Linked DNA regions of Saccharomyces cerevisiae S288C. Each later gene encodes a partner of the first gene's protein in a complex. Each region holds a gene or a part of one and is shown in the gene's direction. Other genes may lie near its edges.

Region 1 (3,592 bases):
TGCGGTAGAGTCAAACCTAATTTGGTATCCTACTTTATGACCATGGTCCCCCAATTCATTAGCTACACGTTCAGCCATGGACACAGCGGCCACTCTTCTTGGTTGAGTGATACCCACCATTCCTGGGTAATCTGGAGAATCTTCGGCACCAAACCCAGCCTCATATAAAAATTGTGGGACTTGTGTAGTCTTACCTGACCCCGTTTCACCACAAATAATCACTACATCATTATGGTGAATAGCCTCCATAATTTTGTGTTCTTCACCAAATACTGGTAGTTGAATTCTTGCTTTCTGAATTTCATCTGATCTGCTAACTTCAACATAGAAGGCTTTACGGGTGGAATTCTCGTTTATTGGAACATAAGCTTCTTGGAGACCATCATCTAAATCTTCCTTTCTAATTATCGGTTTATAATCGATGTTCAAAGTGGGAGTAACTAGCTCTTGATCTCTACCTTCCAATTTTTTTATTTCTTGATTGGCCCAATCCTTGAATTCGTTAGCAACATCATTTTGGTCAAATTTTTCTGAGCCAGTTTCACTATCTGCGCTTTCAACTTCTTCGAGTGGGTTTTCACTAGGATGCATTTTGTCTTCTTCTTCCTGATCCTCCTCTTCGTCATCATCTTCAGATGTCGTGTCGAAATCCATTTCATCTTCTTTCCCATGCTTCTTCAATTCTTCCATTTCTACTCGTTGTCTCCAATTATATTTCTTCTTCGGAGTTTTGCTTTCTTTGTTTATGACTTTTATATTGCTAAACCCAAAGCTAAGACCAGATCCACCAAATTTTGCTGGTCTATGATCAATAAAACCTGATGATTTCTTCTCCTCATTGTCCGTTGGTTTCGGCATACTACCAAATGAAGCCTCGAAATCATCTTCGCCGTCATCATCCTCAGAGCTCCCTCCTTCACCATACTCATCCCAAACTTTTGGTTCATATTCTTCGTATAATATTTCATTTGTTTGTTCATTTCCTCTTCCTTGACGTTCTAAACTCAGTGCTTCTTTGAATTCTTCCTTTTTAGTCTGCCTGCCCTCTCCTAACCTTTTAGAGCTTGTCAACAAACTTGTATCTATCTTATAATCTTGAAGTTTACCAATAATTGTCTTTCTTTCCTCTCTTTTTAATTGATGTTCAATAAATTTATCCAGTCTTTTCTTCTTCAATCTCGAAACTTTCGATTCCTTTGGGGTAAATAACTCCTGTAGTTTTCTTTTCTTCATTTTCTTTTCTTCTTCAGTGAGAGGTTCAAGAATTTCCGCATTGGCATTTGGCTCCGTAGTAGAACTCTCAGCGGGAGCTGAATCTGGGTTTTCTACTCTTTCATCGTTTTCATCCTGTCTAGTGAACTGCTTATTCCTAATTCTTTTCAGTTCTTTTAATTTGGCCATATGGCCGGATCTGGCTTTTTCATTAAACCTTTTTCTGTAAGTACCCATACTTATATTTCTTAAGACACTCTATTATTAGTATTGGGTTGTAATTGCATTTTTATAGCATATAGCACTTGCTATTAACAATAATATACTAATACTATAATGAGCTTTCAATACTCAGCTCATCGCCAATGAAAATTTTCGGAACACCCAATCATCATGATATGTTAGGCGCGTAAATATGAAGAATAACAGAATCGTTAATCAGAAGAGATGATGAAATCATTAAGTCTTGTCCATATCGAACTGGATAGAGTATGTAGCGCTCTAAGAATCTGTTAAATTGAAGTTTGATTTTTTGATATTGGAGGCTCCTATTTTCTAGTTGCTTTTTGTTTTCACTCGCAAAAAAAATGGCAAGATCTTTAAGTCAATCACTCACAGCGACTACCCAGAAGCTAAAAGGAAAGAAGAATGGTGGAAAAGGCAAGAATAAGCCCTCAGCAAAAATTAAAAAAACTCAAAAAGAGATGCTATATGGAATACTGAACGAAAGGAACATAAGACAGATTCAGTTTGGACTGAATAAAAAATTCTCTACTTGGTATGGGAGCGCCGTTTATTTCGATCCTGAAACAAAAAGGCTAGGGTGCTCCGAGACCAAGGGTCAGCTTTCCTCTGTTTCTAACAGCCAATACTGGCTAGACACTCTTTTCGTTTGTGAATACTGCTTCAAATACACGGATGATCAGACGCGGTTTGTAGGACATGTTGCAAGTTGTCCATTTCAATATCGTGTTCCAGGCAAAATAAAATACAAGAGTCCTGAATATACAATAAGAAGAGTAAAAGGATCCAAGTATCAACTCTTTTGCCAATGTCTTTGTCTTTTCACTAAGCTATATCTGGACAATAAATCCATGTATTTCAAAGTAGATCATTATGAATTTTACATAGTTTATGAAACTGGATCAACAAAGCCGATGGGATTCTTTTCGAAAGATTTAGTGTCATATCAGCAAAATAATCTAGCGTGCATCTTGATATTTCCCCCATATCAACGACGTGGATTAGGCCTTTTACTTATCGAGTTTTCATACAAACTATCCCAATTAGAAGGTGTAATATCAGGGCCAGAAGTACCGTTATCACCTTTTGGACTAATCGGGTACTTGAAATATTGGTCACAGATACTCTGTTGGCACCTTATTGAAGGTGACCTCGCCCATTATGATAAAGTGACCCTGGAGGATCTTTCCATCGTGACTGGAATGAGAGTCAATGATGTTATTTTGACCTTGAAGCACTTGAACTGTATTGGGGAGAATAACCAAATTTACTTGCAGTCATTGAATAGCTGGTTGAAACTACATGGAACAAAACGGAATTGGTTCAAATTAAAAGATGAATATTTGCTGATAGATGACTAGGAATCTATTCAGGATGTAACTTAATGGCATATGTATTTCAGGATAGAATATCGCTCGATGAATTCCTGTACAGACAACTACAAACGGACGAATTTTGTCTGACCAAGTTAAGAACAGAGAACTAATGCATAAAATTTGTTTTGCTGCAAAAGTTTCCCTTTTTTTAGAGTATAAATATCTTTTATAGCAAAAGACTTAAAACAGGTTCACGTTTTTATTAGCCGTTTTTGGGCCGGTTTTTCGATGACGAACAAGGACCAAACAAATACAGCATCAAAACAAATTCTAGAATAAGAAGGCAGAAAGGGTAAGGGCATAAAGGAAACCTTCTTTTGTGGTGATGTTGAACTGGGTTTAGCCAAAATTACAACACATATTAAAGTTTTGTTATTTTGCGATAAAGTTATTGCTCTTGAGCATCAAAGAAAGTGGGAGGTTAAACAGAGGAAAACACATTGAAATTTATTCAAAAAAAGATACCGCTATACAACTTTGGCCTGATACTATCTATAGACACGAGTGTCCATACTTAGCAGTAGATGTCCGGATTCGCAAAACTCAAGTCGTGGTTATACAAAGCTTCCCTTTTCGTTTCTTTGATACTTTTGATTGGGTTTTCAGTTGTTTTACCCATAGATTCCATTGCACAAGCTTCTAAATCAGAAAACAATGCCTTTAATACGTTCATTGTTGTAGGCGCTTTAGTTGTCTTTGGCGTTTTTTGTATCTTTATTATTATTGGAAGAATGCTATTTCATAAGAGTTGTTTAAAAGAT
Region 2 (3,580 bases), on another chromosome or scaffold:
TGTTCAGACAATCAATTAGGCCACTTGTTTCAAATAGACTAACCTTCATTCGTTATAACAGTTCTCCAGCCTACACGGCTGCAGTCAGCCTATTGAAAGGAGATTTGAAAAAGGCTATGATTGCCAAGGATGAGATGAAGAAGACAGCAATCAGAAATATGTTATCTGCCATAAAAAACAAAGAAATTGCTTTAAAAGGGAAGAGCGCTGATGAGTACTCCCTGTACGACATGTACTCCAAGTTAATATCTCAAAGAAAGGACTCGATCAATGAGTTCCTTGCTAACAAGAGGGACGATCTGGTGGCCAAAGAGCAAGGTGAAATGGACATTATAAAGAAATATATGGACCAATTGCCAGTGTCTTCAGAGCTTGATATTGATCAAAATGTGAAGAAATTACTGGACGCCCTCAAAACAAAGGCAGGTGAAAAAAAAGTTCAAATTAAGGAAATCATGGGAGAAATCGACTGGAAGTCATTGCCAACAGAATGGAAGACATCTCCAACTGCCATCAAAAATAGCATTGTTAAGCAATTCAAGGAAATTTTCAAATGAGGTCCTTGTTTTCTGCGCGATGAATCACAGCCCAACCTTCAATAGTAAAAAAGAAGTAAAAATATTCGTCAAAAATTATGAAAGATACTTTGTTAATACATATCACAGTTACATATTAAAATAAAAAATTAATGCTCGCTTCCTTTCACCTTTTTTTTTTTTTTTGTGGCTACGTTTTTGTGTCCCATGGCAACCATGATATGTCTTGCTAACTGTCATTTGCCCTTTGTTTATAAAAGAGGCCGCTTTTGTATAATGTATAAATTATTCTTTTCCTGAAAGTATTTGTAGTTATCCAAGACAAAAAACCAGCAGCTAACATTGCTACACATAACTAAAGAACAACACCAAGCCAGTAACTAGCACGAAAGGAAGGAAAGTAAAGTTTTGTATCCCATTCTCTTTTTTGATCCTTATTGAAATGTTAGGATTATATCTATCCTCCCTTTTCTTCGCCTTTTTTATGGCACAAGTGTTTGCTACCAAATACTCAATTACTTTTACATCAGATGAGTATGAAGAAGATGAAACAGGACAAAATGAACCTGGTCCTTTAGTTTTCCATTTGGATAAAAACTCATTACCACCAGCTCTGCTAAATCAAATGGAGTTTAATCCATACTTAGTATTAGCAGATTTACCGGAGGAGCCGCGAGCTGTTGATTCTCAAGAACATACCGATACGGTCCTTGCTTCCAAATCTGTTATAGATTTTCTGTTGGAAGATCCTCTAACAATAGTGGAGCACAAAAAGTTTTCTCAAATTGAAAGTATTCTACATGAAATTATGGAAGACAGCATACAGAAGAAAGTCGGGGCAGACGAGGTATTTGAAGAGATTCCGAAACCGAAAATTTACGCGTATGAAGATATTTTAGTAACTAATATGAGCATCATCAATAATAGTGAAATGCCGACAAGTACTGCAACATTAACGAGCACCATTTCTTATTTATCTAGTACGACAAGTTTAGCTTTATCCACGGGTGTTACCAGCGTTGAGATTTTCCCAACAATCACCCCGGGAAATATTACAACTATTGGGGGATACGAAAATTCATCATCCTCCTTAATGCCGTCGATGGGAATCTTATCTTTTCTATTTGGTCTGTACTTGTTACTTCACCCTTAAAGTTCGGCAGTCATATAATCAAAGTTTTGATAGAGAAAGCATTTATATAACATATAAGCAAATGACCAATTAATGGTATTATTTAGTGACGTTTACAGCTGGCGCGGTCGCGTTACACGGGCAAGAAAAAATCAAAGCCACATCAATAAGTCATCACCATTAGAGAGTTGCACGACAACAAACTAGAACAGCCATGTTCGGGTGAAGAGGAAGTGCAGCAACTCAAGTTTTTCTACAGACTAAATTGTTTTTACTCTTGACTCCAAAAGCCCTTTTTTTTTTTTTTGGTGCCATATAATAGACGCTCTTTTATGGATCATTCAATAGAAGTCACTTTCAGAGTAAAAACACAACAGGTTATAATACCGGAACAAAACATCCGGGGAAATGAACTTCCCTTACGTCGGTGGCAGATGGAACTCCTCATGTTAGATGCAACAGGAAAGGAAGTGGAGCCTACCATCCTCTCTAAATGCATCTACCATTTGCACTCTAGCTTCAAACAGCCCAAAAGACGACTGAACTCGCTGCCATTTTTTATCAAGGAAACCGGTTGGGGAGAGTTTAACTTAAAAATAGAATGCTTTTTTATAGGTAACGCTGGAAAGTTTAGCATTGAACATGACTTAACGTTTGAAGATGATGCATATGCAGTTGACTATACCGTTGATGTGCCTCATGAATTCTCACATCTCAATAGTGAACTATCTAAATATTTTGATCTCCCGTGGAAAGTAGTGTCTCCGGAGGAAGAAATGTCTCTTCGTATAGCCGATTTGCCCTGGATTAAAAGCCTTGCGCTTATAGATGAGGATATGATGACGGACGTGGTTCAGATGATATTGAATGATCCTGCAGTACAGAGAGCAATTGAAAATCATCCCAGAAGGGAGCAGTTTTTTATGTTTATAACACAACTACCAGATGATTTGTTAATGAAAATTCAGGCATTTTTGAAATTACCGAACAAAAATTCCACTAAACAAGAAAGGACAAATTTTGGGTCAGACGCAATACATAAGGACGAGCCAGTGAAGGCTCATAACAAGCTAAAGTAGGGACAGCCATCATGAAATTAAACAATGCCTGAAAACATAGATGATTCTAGCAAGTTGGTCAAATAAGTCAGTGAATAATACTGTTTCCAAAACGATTGAAAAGAATTTTTGAGTGCATGACACTTTTGTTCGTTTTTGTTTCGTTTATCCAAAGAGAAAAAGGAAGCAAATGACAATGCTTTGAATTTTCATTGTTGAATGTTTTGACTTACTTTATTAAAGGACGTTTTTGCGCTTCCACAGAACTAATGTTACTGTTGTTATTCTATGTAAATATGGGATGGGTGTAGGTATGTATATTTATATAATAGCATCCATTGATAATTACTGCTCACAGTATTTCCAATTCGAAGCTATTGATAACCTGGAGACCATATTTTCATGGTTGAGTCCCATGAACCTGTACATACAGCTAACCCATCTGGACTCGAGCGCACACCAGTGACTCTGCCACCATGACCTTCTAATTTTCCAACAATCTCTCCTTTTAATACATCCCACACAACACAACCAATGTCTGTATAGCATGAGTACATCAATCTTCCAGATGCACTAAAATCTAAAGAAACAACGCCTTGGTTGTCTAGATAGCTTGAGCTTGTTGATTTTAAAGTTTGTGGCGATTGCGCGGTATTGTACTCCATGTTAGCTGCCATATAAGTAGGGGTAGGGGTACGTTCTTCATAACCTCGAAAAAGAGAAAAAGTAGCAATAGAACAGTCCGACCTTAAATCATACATATTTATCGCACCATTGTCACTTCCTGCAACAATCGACATCCCGTCTTTGAAAAAACGAAGTGCATTAATATCACTATCGTTAACGTAAAAGCT

Evidence for each region.
Region 2: SAS2 (region 1) and SAS5 share a complex: the UniProt entries of both Saccharomyces cerevisiae proteins name them as parts of the SAS complex.

What each region holds. Positions count from the first base shown.
Region 1 is NC_001145.3:521,553-525,144, reverse strand, and holds SAS2 (histone acetyltransferase), read left to right. Parts: upstream 1-1,799; coding exon 1,800-2,816; downstream 2,817-3,592. Other genes in the region: ATP-dependent RNA helicase ECM16, read right to left, coding at 1-1,449; DLT1 (Dlt1p), read left to right, coding at 3,356-3,592. UniProt on the Saccharomyces cerevisiae protein: Histone acetyltransferase (HAT) subunit of the SAS complex, a multiprotein complex that acetylates 'Lys-16' of histone H4 and 'Lys-14' of histone H3. The SAS complex is however unable to acetylate nucleosomal histones.
Region 2 is NC_001147.6:743,702-747,281, reverse strand, and holds SAS5 (Sas5p), read left to right. Parts: upstream 1-2,000; coding exon 2,001-2,747; downstream 2,748-3,580. Other genes in the region: AIM41 (Aim41p), read left to right, coding at 1-557; SPR2 (Spr2p), read left to right, coding at 979-1,689; STE4 (G protein subunit beta), read right to left, coding at 3,101-3,580. UniProt on the Saccharomyces cerevisiae protein: Component of the SAS complex, a multiprotein complex that acetylates 'Lys-16' of histone H4 and 'Lys-14' of histone H3. The SAS complex is however unable to acetylate nucleosomal histones.